2 linked regions of the Stegostoma tigrinum genome follow. The protein of the gene in region 2 interacts with the protein of the main gene of each other region in a biochemical or structural test. Links are inferred from orthologs where the notes say so. Each region holds a gene or a part of one and is shown on either strand. Other genes may lie near its edges.

Evidence for each region.
Region 1: the proteins of prkar2aa (region 2) and akap11 form a complex in vitro, tested with the Homo sapiens proteins (2 studies listed by BioGRID, with this or other methods). The link is inferred for Stegostoma tigrinum from reciprocal best matches to the Homo sapiens genes PRKAR2A and AKAP11.

Annotation. Positions count from the first base shown.
Region 1 is NC_081365.1:80,434,480-80,442,246, reverse strand, and holds the start of akap11 (A-kinase anchor protein 11), read right to left. Parts: upstream 3,002-7,767; 5' UTR 2,882-3,001; intron 1-2,881. UniProt on the Homo sapiens protein: Binds to type II regulatory subunits of protein kinase A and anchors/targets them.
Region 2 is NC_081364.1:9,588,909-9,596,174, forward strand, and holds the start of prkar2aa (protein kinase, cAMP-dependent, regulatory, type II, alpha A), read right to left. Parts: upstream 3,005-7,266; 5' UTR 2,934-3,004; coding exon 2,805-2,933; intron 1-2,804. UniProt on the Homo sapiens protein: Regulatory subunit of the cAMP-dependent protein kinases involved in cAMP signaling in cells. Type II regulatory chains mediate membrane association by binding to anchoring proteins, including the MAP2 kinase.

The DNA of each region.
Region 1 (7,767 bases), on a different chromosome or scaffold from region 2:
CATTGCCAAACATTAACAGACCGTGTAGAATTGGTTGGCTTGTACTCGTAATGCCCACATTTCCCATCTCAAAGACATTCTCAATTGCACTGGACAAACTCTGGTTAACAGCTGTTGTTGAAACTATTAGATACTGACAGGCCTGCTGAAGACATCAATTTTCAATTCCCATTTCCATCAGGCTGCTTCTATTCTGACCAGATCCTTTTCTTGGCATGTTACATCACTGACCTAAGACTGAAGCCACATCCTGAAAATCTGACTCCCCCAAGAAAAGCAATATCTGCCTAGACCAGTCATCCTGGATATCTTGGAGTTCCCAGTAGCCTGCTCACTGTCTCCTGCTCCGGCTGACATGAAATACCTCTCGTGATCGTCCCAGTGCCGATCAACCTTCAATAGACTAGCAGGCAACCAACCAACTAGGGTACATTACATTCTCTACTGTACATTAGTGTGTGATATGATAATGCATTATGTACTTAAAAATCACTTGCATCAAAGCCACAGAATTGTATTTCTACTGCCAATGTTTTTTTAATTTTAAGTTGCAGCTACAGCAGTTATACACAAGCATTCTCTTAACTGACTCAAAACATCAATCTACACTTGATCTGTGGCCTCATTAAATCAGTGCCATTGGAAACAATGGGGATATGTGGGGAAAAACAAGCAACAATGTGTGCTTGGTTCCCAACAAATGCCCTAACAGTGGCACTGGCTGCAAATCTCAGAAGTGGCAGAGCCAAGAGCAATTTACAAGCGTTTCTTATAGGCTCTTCGAGGCTCAGCACCTTGTGAGCATGGAGTCTCAAGCATTCGTGTTTCTGGACTGTCAGCGCTGCAATTGCCTGTTACTTGATAAAATTCATTTGGAAGTGTCAAGCAAAACATCTTTTACCAACTTGCATTGTAGTTCCTTAGTTACCTCAAATCTGTCCGAGTGATTATCGTTTCTTTAACCCTACCCACTATTGATGCTAAACTAGCTGACTAGAGCCATCAGGACTGCCCTTAAACTCTCCTGAATAAAAAAGGTGACACTTACTAAACTTCTGGCCTCTCAGCATATCTGAGGCAGGTTAAAGACTTGCACTATTTCCACGTCTACTACCTTTAACAAATCTGAGATACAAACCAAGTGAGTGATGCATTCTTAGCCTAGAAACATTTCCATCCAACTTGCCTATCATTTTTCAGCCTATTTACTGCTACCACTGTATCTGCTCCACTGATATTTTGTCAGCATCAATTCACTTCATAACCATCAATATTAAGTACTTACTGTGTGTGTCCCTGCTCCTCTAAACCATATGTAATGCTCTTTCTCTCTAATAGGTCCCACTTCACCCTTTACTACATGCTTTGAATTTTTTTTAAGCCTGAGGTTTTTACTGTTAAAACATTCCCTCTTTGGCAGTCTCATTTTCCTGAACTCTCCCCTCCAGAGTGTATATGATTCGATTCTCACTTCAAGAATTTACCCAACATGCAACAAACTTCTCATTTCATGATTTTCTCTAGTTACTTCATCATCAAGGGAGGCCTGACATTGATTCCCTTACCATTCACCCATGTTAGATTGCACTAAGCCTGTACCTAAAACATTTCTGCCTTAAAGAGTAAGAATTATTTACTTGTGCCTTAGTACAGCATCTTACAAAGGGTTATTCCTTAATAGTTCCCTTAAAGTTTTTCCTGTAAGTCTCTGGTTCCACTGTACCATGGTCCTCTGCCCGCATTCTAGTTAAACTAGCTGTCTTATAATTTTCTTTTGTTTGTTCCTGCCTCTTCTCCCTCATTAATGTAAGCCTTCTTACAATGAAGATTCTTACCCAAGTGCTCCCCCCAAACAGTACACAAGATTTAGCAATGCCCTCTTCTAGTTGCTCCAGAAACCCAACCAAAAGCTCATTTCAAATTTATCCTCCACACCCTTTACTGTAACATTGAACTAATTGATTTGCAGTGAAATTAAAGCAGCCCATTAGCACTAATCCACAGCTCTTGCACATCCCTATGATTTCCCTGCAGATGTGCATCACTCATCATTTTGAGGCATATAGAATATCATATAGTGTGATCATACCTTGTTGACACTAACCAAATAGACTGTATCCTTGCCTCAAGGGCAGACCCTCTTTCCATGGTTACAATGACTTCTTTAACTCAATGCTCTACTTTTTTTGAACACTCAATTTCCTTGAATATTAAACTCTAAGTCCTCAATTTTTCACCCTCCATTCTGGAGGGAAAAAAATATTATATTGTCACAATGCTGTTTGTGCTTACAATCTATCAACCTTATTTATCACACTTTGCACATTTAAATTCATGTATGTAATTAGCAAAAGAATTGGCAGTTAGGCTAAATATTCATGAAGGCTGGGTTTCCCCCCCCCCCCCCCCCTTCACCGAGAACACCTTCCTTTACAAAGCGAGAAATCAAGAGTTTAACGTTCTGGGTCGGGTGGCCCTCAGAACCGGGGTCACTGGTTCCAGTAACTTGAAGCACAACCAGTCCCTGGGTGGTCCTTGCCCCAGAGCAGCTCCCAAGGTCTCATCATGTCCCTTCATCCTGCAACAGGCCTTCACCCACAATAGGAGTCTCAATGCCTTCCTATTCCTTCTCTCAGCACTGGAATAAAAGTCAACAAAATAAGGCACCCAGGCACGTGTCAGCCCCCAAACACGCAACCTACCTGCCGGAATGTAACCCCGGTTCGGGTCTGACCCCCGCGCCCAGAGGGATCTGATGGGGGGGGGGAAGGCAGTTCCCCTTTCCGCCCGTGTGGCCCGCGGCCCACTCGACCCTCACCATAAACCCCCACCATTACCCAGTTACCGCCTACACCGCCCCCACGTTACCCCGGCCTCTCACCCGCTCTGGTCCCGGCCCCACCGCCACAATCCAGCACCGAGTCAGGACGCGCACTAGGCCACAGGAATTGAGGGCAGAACCAAGCGCCAAATCAATCAAACAGGGAGACACGGAGAAGGAGAGTGGGATAGAGAACAGGAAGGTTAAAGGTCACAGCTCCGTCCATTGACCAATCGGAATGAAGCTATATGAACGAGCTCTTGGAGTGTTGGCCAGTCAGAATAAAGGGTTGTCAACCAATCAGTGCGAGAGGCCATTGACCAATCAGAGTCAGGCAGCGCTGACCAATCAGAGCGAACACATATGGTCCAATCAGAGTGAGGCGGTGTCCCTCAGTTTGCCAGAACATGTACATTGAGATCAGTGATAATGGGAACTGCAGATGCTGGAGAATCCAAGATAATAAAATGTGGAGCTGGATGAACACAGCAGGCCCAGCAGCATCTCAGGAGCACAAAAGCTGATGTTTCGGGCCTAGACCCTTCATCAGAGAGGGGGATGGGGAGAGGGAACTGGAATAAATAGGGAGAGAGGGGGAGGTGGTCTGAAGATGGAGAGTAAAGAAGATAGGTGGGGAGGTAGAGAGGGGATAGGTCAGTCCAGGGAAGATGGACAGGTCAAGGAGGCGGAATGAGGTTAGTAGGTAGGAAATGGAGGTGCGGCTTGGGGTGGGAGGAAGGGATGGGCGAGAGGAAGAACAGGTTAGGGAGGCCGAGACAGGTTGGACTGGTTTTGGGATGCAGTGGGTGGAGGGAATGAGCTGGGCTTGTTTTGGGATGCAGTGGGGGGAGGGGACAGGCTGGGCTGGTTTTGGGATGCAGTGGGGGGAGGGGAGATTTTGAAGCTGGTGAAGTCCACATTGATACCATTGGGCTGCAGGGTTCCCAAGTGGAATATGAGTTGCTGTTCTTGCAACCTTCGGGTGGCATTATTGTGGTACTGCAGGAGGCCCATGATGGACATGTCATCTGAGGAATGGAAGGGAGAGTTATAAAATTGTTCGCGACTGGGAGGTGCTGTTTTTTATTGCGAACCAAGCGGAGGTGTTCTGCAAAGCAGTCCCCAAGCCTCCGCTTGGTTTCCCCAATGTAGAGGAAGCCACACCGGGTACAATGGATGCAGTATACTACACTGGCAGATGTGCAGGTGAACCTCTGCTTAATATGGAAAATCATTTTGCGGCCTGGGATAGGGGTGAGGGAGGAGGTGTGGGGCAAGTGTAGCACTTTCTGTGGTTACAGGGGAAGGTGCCGGGTGTGGTGGGGTTGATGAGGAGTGTGGAGCGGACAAGGGAGTCGCGGAGAGAGTGGTCTCTCCGAAAGGCAGACAAGGGTGGGGATGGAAAAATAGCTTGGATGGTGGGGATGGATTGTAGATGGCGAAAGTGTCGGAGGAGGATGTGTTGTATCCGGAGGTTGGTGGGGTGATATGTGAGAACGAGGGGGATCCTCTGGAGGCGGTTGTGGTGGGGGCAGGGTGTGAGGGATGTGTTGCGGGAAATGTGGGAGACGCGGTCAAGGGCGTTCTCGACCACTGCGGGGGGAAAGTTGCAGTCCTTGAAGAACGTGGACCTCTGGGATGTGCGGGAGTGGAATGCCTCATCCTGGGAGGAGATGAGGCGGAGGAATTGGGAATAGGGAATGGAATTTTTGCAGGAGGGTGGGTGGGAGGAGGTGTGTTCTAGGTAGCCGTGGGAGTCGGTGGGCTTGAATTGGACATCAGTTTCTAGCTGGTTGCCTGAGATGGAGACTGAGAGGTCCAGGAAGGTGAGGGATGTGTTGGAGATGGCCCAGGTGAACTTGAGGTTGGGGTGGAAGGTGTTGGTGAAGTGGATGAACTGTTCGAGCTCCTCTGGGGAGCAAGAGGTGGCACCGATACAGTCATCAATGTAACGGAGGAAGAGGTGGGGTTTGGGGCCTGTGTAGGTGCAGAGGAGGGACTGTTCCACGTAACCTACAAAGAGGCAGGCATAGCTTGGGCCCATGCGGGTGCCCATGGCCACCCCCTTTGTCTGTAGGAAGTGGGAGGAATCAAAAGAGAAGTTGTTGAGGGTGAGGACGAGTTCGGCTAGACGGCTGAGGGTGTCGGTGGAGGGGGATTGGTCGGGCCTGCAGGACAGGAAGAAGCGGCGGGCCTTAAGGCCATCTGCATGAGGAATGCAGGTGTATCGGGACTGGAGGTCCATGATGAAAATGAAGTGTTGGGGGCCAGGGAATTGGAAGTTCTGGAGGAGCTGGAGGGCGTGGGTGGTGTCACGGACATAGGTGGGGAGTTCCTGGATCAAGGGGGAGAAAATGGAGTCCAGATAGGTGGAGATGAGTTAGGTCAGCCAGGGCGGGCGGGTTTTTGGATTTTGGGAAGGAGATAGAAACAGGCCGTGCGGGGTTGGGGAACAATAAGGTTGGAGTCTGTGGGTGGGAGGTGCCCTGAGGTGATGAGGCCATGGATGGTATTGGAGATGGTGGTTTGGTGCTCAGGGGTGGGGTCATGATCAAGGGGCAGTTGGAAGAGGTGTCGGAGAGTTGGCGTTTGGCCTCGGCAATGTAGAGGTCAGTGCGCCATACTACAACTGCGCCTCCCTTGTCTGCAGGTTTGATGGTGACGTTGGGGTTGGAGCGGAGGGAACGGAGGGCTGCCCGTTCTGCGGGGGAGAGGTTGGACTGGGTGAGAGTGGTGGAGAGGTTGAGGCGGTTGATGTCTCAACATCAGTTGGCGATGAAGAGGTCGAGGGAGGGTAGGAGGCCTGGGGTTGGTGTCCAGGAAGAGGACTTGTGTTGGAGGCGGGTGAAGGGGTCAGTGGAGGGAGGGTTAGGTTCCCGGTTAAAGAAGTAAGCGTGGAGGAGAAGGCGGTGGAAAAAATACTCGATGTCCAAACGTGACTGGTATTCGTTGATGTGTGGGTGGAGGGGGACAAAGGTGAGCCCCTTGCTTGGGACTGACCATTCATCCTCAGTCAGTGGGAGGTCTGCGGGGATGGTGAAGATTCGGCAGGGCTCAGTGTGGCTGTCCTTTGAAAGGTCGGTGTGGTCTTGATTTTTTAAAATTTCCTTTATTCTCATGGTGGATTGAATATAAAATGCAGTGAAAAGCATGTACTGTCGCTCTGTGCATGTACTGTTCACATAGTAAAAACACAATAACTTAAAGAGGGTCTAAACTTCCCTTCACCTTTGCTACTGCATGCCGCCACCAGAGTCATGCTGCAGGCTTCCAGCCTACGCCGTGCCACTATGAGTGTCTCTCAGCCCCTCTGACGCCCTAGGACATGGCCCCTCCGTCACTCTGGGGATAGGGCCCCTCCATCAGCCGCCTCAGGCTGCCTTCTCCCATCTGCTACCAGTCACACCTCCAGCTTGTGCTCTCTGCCCACATGATGCTCCATGGCTGCTTCCCCACAAACTGCTATGGAGTTCTTCTCCATGCAGCTCCTGTGCTCGCTGCTGACAGTGTTCTGGGGCATGAGGGCTCACTGCTCTGGACTTGCTGCCAGCTTCAGTGCTGAGGGTAGAGGAGAAAAAAAGAAAGGAAAAAGAACAGGTGGAGCACAGGAGTTCTGACAGCTCTGATGAGCTGAATGGCCTGCATCCACACTGTAGGGATTCTGTTCTCTTCTACATTTGTGAAAAGATTGATATTGGTGACCAGGGAGGGTGATAACTGTCTCATGGTCCCTATGCCCATTTCCCTGCAGAATGCCTGTTCACTTCTGCAAAAGACCATCTGTCAGCTTATTGTGAATGACTATATGCTACCAGTGGCCTTGATGGAAACATCTGTCCGGGATAATGACACCTTTTTTATGGCTGAAGCCTCCCTTTCTGGCTATTTCTTTGATCTCTAGGTCCATCAGGCTCGTTGTAGTTTCCTCCCTTGGACTCTCCAACAAATGTCTTCTTATCCTCAATGATTTTAATCTCCATCTCAACTCACCATGTCTAACTCTAACTTCACTGGCTACTTATCATCACTATCTCTTCTCTATCGGAATACCCTCCCCAGATTAGAAATATAGCCAGCTCTACACCTTGTTATCTCATTTTTCAAAGGTTGTAAGGTTGCCAGCATCCACTACCTCCCTGGGCTGTACTTTCTAGATTCCCACCACCCTCTGAGAGAAAAAGCTTTTTTCTCAAACCCTGTCTGAATCTGCTGCGCCTTATGCTAAAAGTGGGCCTTCTTGTGATTGAAGCCTCAACCAAGGGGAATAGCTGCTCTCTACTCTCCCTGCCCATACCCCTCATAATCTTATGCACATCAATCATCTCCCTCTCAGCCTCCTCTATTTTTGAGAAAACAATCCTGTAACTGACAACCATCTTCTTCACTATTGAGCATCCAGCAGCCTTTGTGTTGTCTGAAAACTTGCTTAACATCCCCCGTTTATGTATATAACAAACAATATGCGTCTCAGACTGATCCTTGTGGCGTATTGCTGGAAGTTGGCATCCAGTCACTTGGACAGCTTTCTACTTCTACTCTTTGTATCCTATTACGAAGCCGGTTTCTGATCCATCTCATCATCTTCATAATCAGTTTCCCCTGTGGGACCTTGTCAAATGCTTTGCTAAAGTCTGTATAAACTACATCAACTGAGCTTCCTTCATCCACACACTTGATCACATTTTTGAAAAATTCTGTGACCTCCTTCTGACAAAGCCATGCTGACTGTTTGTAATTTACCTATGCTTTTCCCAAGTGGATGTTAATTCTCTCCTTAAAAAATTTCTCCAATAGTTTCCCTATCATGACATGATACTCACCAGTCTGTAATTTCCCTGGTTCATCTCAACCAACTTTCTTGAAAAGTGGAACCACATTAACTCTTCTCCAGTTCTCTGGCACTCCCCCTGTGGCCACAGAGGCATTAAAAATTTGTGTCAGAGCCC
Region 2 (7,266 bases):
TTTGTGCAAGAAAAATTAAATAAAAAATTATATAATGGAAGAACATCATACAACACATTCAATACAGCACAGAAACAGGCTCTTTGACTCACCAAGCCTGTTACAATTGCTAATCCTTATTTTGATCCGCTACTTTTTGCCCATCCCTAGTTTATATCCCTGTTTGACTCCCATTCATACGTTCATCACATATGCCTTAAACCATTGCTAACGTGCCTGCTTCCACTGGCACAGAGTTACAGACACCTACCACCCTGTATGAAAAATTTTCCCTACACTTCTCCCCTAAAGTTCCCCCCCTCACCCTGAATCTATGCCCTCCTGTCATTGGCCTGTCTACCCTTGGAAAAAGCTTCTGAGTATCCACCCTACTCACACCTCTGATAATTTTGCAGCCCTCTATCTGGTCACCCTCAGCCTCTGTCATTCCAGTGAAAACAATCTGAGTTTATCGAACCCAAATAAAACCCTCCAGACAAGGCAACATCCTGGTAAACTTCCCTGCACCCTCTCAAAACTGCACGCAATACCTGAAAATGACCTAACTACAGTTTTGTACAGCTGTAACACAACTTGCCAACTTTTACATTCAATGAAGGCAAGGTTTTTGACTACCTTATCCATCTGTTGCCATGTTCAGGGATCTGTGGACCTGTTCATACAAATGCAAACACAATTATCTGCAATGATTTTGGTGGTGCATTAGTTATTTAAGTTCACACAGGTTGCTCTGCCTTGGGGCATGATCACCTGTTGCAAGGCAAGTGGGTGCAGCCCAGGGCCAGGCATTGGAGCTAATCCTGTGCTCCATTTGTCACCTTTAGTCCTGATGGTGCCAATGTGCTGTATGGTCAAAAGTTATTTGTCCTCTCCAACAGTCATTTTTATAGGATTGTTTTGTTTAATTCTAGCTGAACACTTGCGTGCAAAGTGATTCAGTATTTTGCACTGCTTTTCCCATACTGGACATGCTTCACAAACCCCACCTCTTCCTCCGTTACATTGATGACTGTATCGGCGCTGCCTCTTGCTCCCCAGAGGAGCTCGAACAGTTCATCCACTTCACCAACACCTTCCACCCCAACCTTCAGTTCACCTGGGCCATCTCCAGCACATCCCTCACCTTCCTGGACCTCTCAGTCTCCATCTCAGGCAACCAGCTTGTTACTGATGTCCATTTCAAGCCCACCGACTCCCACAGCTACCTAGAATACACCTCCTCCCACCCACCCTCCTGCAAAAATTCCATCCCCTATTCCCAATTCCTCCGCCTCATCTGCTCCCACGATGAGGCATTCCACTCCCGCACATCCCAGATGTCCAAGTTCTTCAAGAACCGCAACTTTCCCCCCAGTGGTCGAGAACGCCCTTGACCACGTCTCCCGCATTTCCCACAACACATCCCTCACACCCCGCCCCCACCACAACTGCCCAAAGAGGATCCCTCTCGTTCTCACACACCACCCTACCAACCTCCGGATACAACGCATCATCCTCCGACACTTCCACCATCTACAATCCAACCCCACCACCCAAGACATTTTTCCATCCCCACCCTTGTCTGCTTTCCGGAGAGACCACTCTCTCCATGACTCCCTTGTTCGCTCCACATTGCCCTCCAACCCCACCACACCCGGCACCTTCCCCTGCAATCGCAGGAAATGCTACACTTGCCCCCACGCCTCCTCCCTCACCCCTATCCCAGGCCACAAGATGACATTCCACATTAAGCACAGGTTCACCTGCACATCTGCCAATGTGGTATACTGCATCCACTGTACCCGGTGTGGCTTCCTCTACATTGGGGAAACCAAGTGGAGGCTTGGGGACCGCTTTGCAGAACACCTCCGCTCGATTCGCAATAAACAACTGCACCTCCCAGTCGCAAACCATTTCCACTCCCCCTCCCATTCTTTAGATGACATGTCCATCATGGGTCTCCTGCAGTGCTACGATGATGCCACCCGAAGGTTGCAGGAACAGCAACTCATATTCCGCTTGGGAACCCTGCAGCCCAATGGTACCAATGTGGACTTCACCAGCTTCAAAATCTCTCCTTCCCCCACCGCATCCCAAAACCAGCCCAGTTCGTCCCTTCCCCCCACTGCACCACACAACCAGCCCAGCTCTTCCCCTCCATCCACTGCATCCCAAAACCAGTCCAACCTGTCTCTGCCTCCCTAACCGGTTCTTCCTCTCACCCATCCCTTCCTCCCACCCCAAGCCGCACCTCCATCTCCTACCTACTAACCTCATTCCACCTCCTTGACCTGTCCGTCTTCCCTGGGCTGACCTCCCCCTCCCTACCTCCCCACCTATACTCTCCTCTCCACCTACCTTCTTTTCTCTCCATCTTTGGTCCGCCTCCCCCTCTCTCCCCATTTATTCCAGAACCCTCACCCCATCCCCCTCTCTGAAGAAGGGTCCAGGCCCGAAACATCAGCTTTTGTGCTCCTGAGATGCTGCTGGGCCTGCTGTGTTCATCCAGCCTCACATTTTATTATCTTGGAATTCTCCAGCATCTGCAGTTCCCATTAACACTGGACATGCTTCCTCCTCTTTTGTGCCATGTCTTCTTCACAATTTACAGCCTGACCTCTGGCTTTTTGCTTTCTGCTGACTCTTCTGCAGGTATTTTGGTTTTGTTCCACTATGTTGTTTTTGATCAGGCTGAAATGTGTCTGTAATAATCTAAATCTTAATAATCTAAAGCTTCACCTGTTCTTCCATTGTGTACCCTAGCGCACAGTTGACAATCTCAGGGCTTCTGCACGTTGATAGCTTGGGCCAACCATTCCCCTCACCTTGATCGTGTCCAGCGGGTGCCCAGCAAACACCAGGCACACCCCGCCAAAACCTCCGGCGAAGAAATTCTTGACAGGATTGATTGCCTGCGGCTGCCGCGGGCCGGGCTTCTTCTCTTCCGCCGACATGTTTCCCAAGAGCCCGATCACCGAGCATCTACCTTTGCCCTCGATCGGACTGCCCCGGACTCCTTTCCCGGTTGCACCAACCGCTCAACCACGACAGCAGTGCACCCACCAAATACGACCCCCGAGTAGCGTAGCCTAACGCTGAGCAAATTACTCATTAGTGATATTTTCCCCTCCATGGAGATTCCGCTGAAATTTCCGATAGACGAAATTGCACCCGACTCTTAGTTTTAAGAAAGCATGACTAATTAGGAAAATCGAAAAAAACTGCGGACGCTGTAAATCAGGGACAAAAACATAAGTTGTTGGTAAAGCTCAGCAGGTCTGGCAGCATTTGTGAAGAAAAAAATTTACAGTTAACGTTTGTGTCCCGTGGCCTTCCTAAGAACATAATTAATTATCAGGGTTTTTTTGGATAATGCCTTGATCTGTTCTAACAATTCCAAAATAAAGTCATTTTTGGAATAATTCAAAATAAATACAGTGGTTTGGATTGGAGATCCACTGTAAAGATTTAAGTGATAGCTGTCTAGCTATATTTTAGTAGGCAAGCGTGTCTCAATTTCTCTTATAAGTATTTGGTGGGATTGACACATCTCATGAGTCTGGCCAACTGAAGTATGATCTCACAGAGATAGGATCCCATTGTGACAGTCTGCTGAGAAGAGAAACTTACTCTCAAGAAAGCTTATCAACGTGCAGAAGCTCTGAGATTGTCAACTGTGCGCTAGGGTACACAATGGAAGAACAGGTGAAGTTTTAGATTATTAAGATTTAGATTATTATAGACACATTTCAGCCTGATCAAAAACAACATAGTGGAACAAAACAAAAATACCTGCAGAAGAGTCAGCAGAAAGCAAAAAGCCAGAGGTCAGGCTGTAAATTGTGAAGAAGACATGACACAAAGGAAGAGAAAGCATGTCCAGTGTGGGAAAAGCAGTGCAAAATACTGAATCACTTTGCACGAAAGTGTTCAGCTAGAATTAGACAAAATAATCCTATAAAAATGACTGCTGGAGAGGGCAAGTCACTTTCAACCATGCAGCAGATTGGCATCATCAGGACTAAAGGTGACAAATGACCTGTGACTGTTAGGATGATGATTGCAGAAGGGCAGCATCAAGTGAACGTGAAGCGTCAGACAGACACTGGTGCCTTATGCAATGTCATGAACTCGCAGATCTGTGTGCTTCAAGTGGTAACCCAAAATAAAGTCCTTAAAGGTATAGTTATGGCTATAATTTGCAACAATATCCATCCCACGATGGCAAATGAACCTCACAGCCCAATGAATGTCTGGAGTTCCAGATACCAAATGTTCAGGAAAAATCAACCTATCTCAGCTTAAGAAAATCCAAAGCTTCAATTTGTAACCCAACACATCTTAGGTGAGATCTGAGATAATGGGGACTGCAGATGCTGGAGAATCCAAGATAACAAAGTGTGAAGCTGGATGAACACAGCAGGCCAAGCAGCATCTCAGGAGCACAAAAACTAACGTTTCAGGCCTAGACCCTTCATTAGAGAGGGGGATGGGGAGAGGGTTCTGAAATAAATAGGGAAAGAGGGGAGGCGGACTGAAGATGGAGAGAAAATATGATAGGTAGAGAGGAGAGTATAGGTGGGGAGGCAGGGAGGGGATGGATCAGTTCAGGGAGGACAGACAAGTCAAGGAGGCGGGATGATGTTAGTAGGCAGGAAATGGAGGTGCGGCTTGGGGTGGGTGGAGTGGATAGGTGAGAGGAAGAACAGGTTAGGGAGGCGGACACAGGCTGGGCTGGTTTTGGGATGCAGTGGGGAAGTGGAGATTGTGAAGTCCACATTGATACCATTGGGCTGCAGGGTTCCCAAGCGGAATATACTGTATCCCAAAACCAGCCCAGCTCGTCCCCTCCCCCACTGCATCCCAAAACCAGCCCAGCCTGTGTCCGCCTCCCCCTCTCTCCCTATTTATTTCAGAACCCTCTCCTCATCCCCCTCTCTGATGAAGGGTCGAGGCCCAAAACGTCAGCCTTTGTGCTCCTGAGATGCTGCTTGGCATGCTGTGTTCATCCAGCTTCACACTTTGTTATTTTAGAGATCTGAAATGTTTTCTATGCCACTGAGCTGCTGACTGTTGAACAGATCCTAGATAATTAAAGATATGATCTTACAGTTCTTGGACATCTCCCAGTAAATATCATTTTGAAGTAGGTGAAAGTGTATGACCAACTCAACATCTTCCAAGGAGAGTTTCAGCTGTCCTCAAAGAAATACAAGACAGATCAACTTGCAGCCCCACTGACTCAGAAGTCCTAAAAGAAAAGGATAGAATGATAAGAAGGCTAAGATATTGTTCTTTGAGGTAATGGCAGTTAATTGTAAGCAAGTCAAAGCAGAAGAGGCAGTAATCACACAACGGAAGAAAATATATGTTAAGAGAATAGAGCAAGAAAACAAAAGAAATTGAAGATGGCTGGATCAAGGGCATATACTGATGGTAAACGACTTTGCTTGGATCTTGGCAAGGTGAAAGTTGTTGCAAAGGTGTAAATACAGTACAATGATTCATCAGATTTTTGATGAACTGTTTAGCAAAATTCTTGCCTGATTTGTCATCAGAGTGCAAACATCTGTGCAAACTCACTGCCCAGGATTTGCATTGGTATTCATTCACAGAAAAGAAGCAGCTTAACTCAAATCAAAAGACTAGTAACAACAGTTCAAAATGCTTTGGAAGTCATAGTTGAAAGAACAATATAGAGGTTTATAAAATAATGAGGGGTAGATAGAGTTAATGCTCATTGTCTTTTCCATAGTGGAGGGTTTTCAAGACTTGGCACCACATTTTTAAGGTGAGAGGCGAGAGATTTAAAAAAAGACGAGGGTTAAGTTTTTTACGCAGAGGGTTGTTTGCATGTGGAATAAATCTCCTGATGAAGTGTAGGTACAATTACAATGTTTAAAAGATATTTGGAAAAATATATGAATAGATATGGGCCAGGAGCAGGCAGGTGAGACGAGTTCAGTTTGGGATTATATTCGGCATGGATTGGTCTGTGACATGTAACTGTTTGAAAAGAACATCACCCTAGGAATGAACAGATACCAGACAAACTGGCAGTTACTCAACTAAATCTTATCAAAAGACCTGAAAACCTCAGAGAAAACAAGTCAATGCATGCACATACAGACTGATGAAAGTGGGATAGACTAGAATTTTCAGTTTTGTTCATGAGTGATCATTTTGGGTGACCCATAGCTGCTGAAAATAGTGCGTACAATTTTCTTTCTCTGTCTAAAAGGGGATGTTTGCATCTGCGCATTGTACCTACTAGCTGATCTTCCTTTGGTCATGTGACCTCAACATCTACTGTAATTTGCTTTCATTCGGGTGTGGCAGCCATTAAACACATAATTTGAAACAAGGGTTATGCAGATCAGGCCAGAGAAGAGGAGTTCCGGCCAGAATCAGATCAGCAATTATCTTATTAAATAGTGGCAGAGCAGGCTTAGGGAGCTGAATGGACTTCCTGCTCTGATTTCCTACAAGCTTGTCTTACTATTGCAGCATGAAGAGAAATGACGTTGGTCCCAGCCATTCCTAAATCTGAGCTTTTTTAAATTTAGCCCATTATGAAACAACTTCGTCATCATTTATTTTTAATTTGGGATAACAGTAAATAGAATCATGGAATGTCATTTTATTGTTTGGATTTTATTGTAGATCAAATACTTAATTCCTGACTTTATCTTAGGGCCTCTGCGTAAATCAAATTCAAGTTTTCATGTTTGACATACTTAAGAATTTTGGCCTGTGAGTTGTAGGTGAATTCAGTGTGTCCAAGATTCAGGTATGAAACATACAAGCTAACCACGTCGAGTTACAATTATGCAATGCCTTAAATGTAATCAAATGTCCCAAGGCAAATCACAGGCAAGTTAAACAACCAAATTTAATGCCAAGCCATGTAAAGCAACATTGTGGCAGAAGGCCAATAATTTCATCGAAGAAGGTTCAAGGAATGTCGCAAAGAAATTTATGAAATTTTTTTTAAAAATTCACAGAAGGTGGCATCTCTGACTAGGTCTGTTTTTATTGCTCTTCCCTCATTATCCAGTGTCAACTCTATTGTTGTGGGTCTGGAATCACATGTAGGCCAAACCGGGAAAGGATAGCAGGTTTTCTTCCCTAAAGGACGTATAGTAATCTTAGTATCAGAGATAATGGGAACTGCAGATGCTGGAGAATTCCAAGATAATAGAATGTGAGGCTGGATGAACACAGCAGGCCAAGCAGCATCTCAGGAGCACAAAAGCTGACGTTTCGGGCCTAGACCGGTCGTGAGAC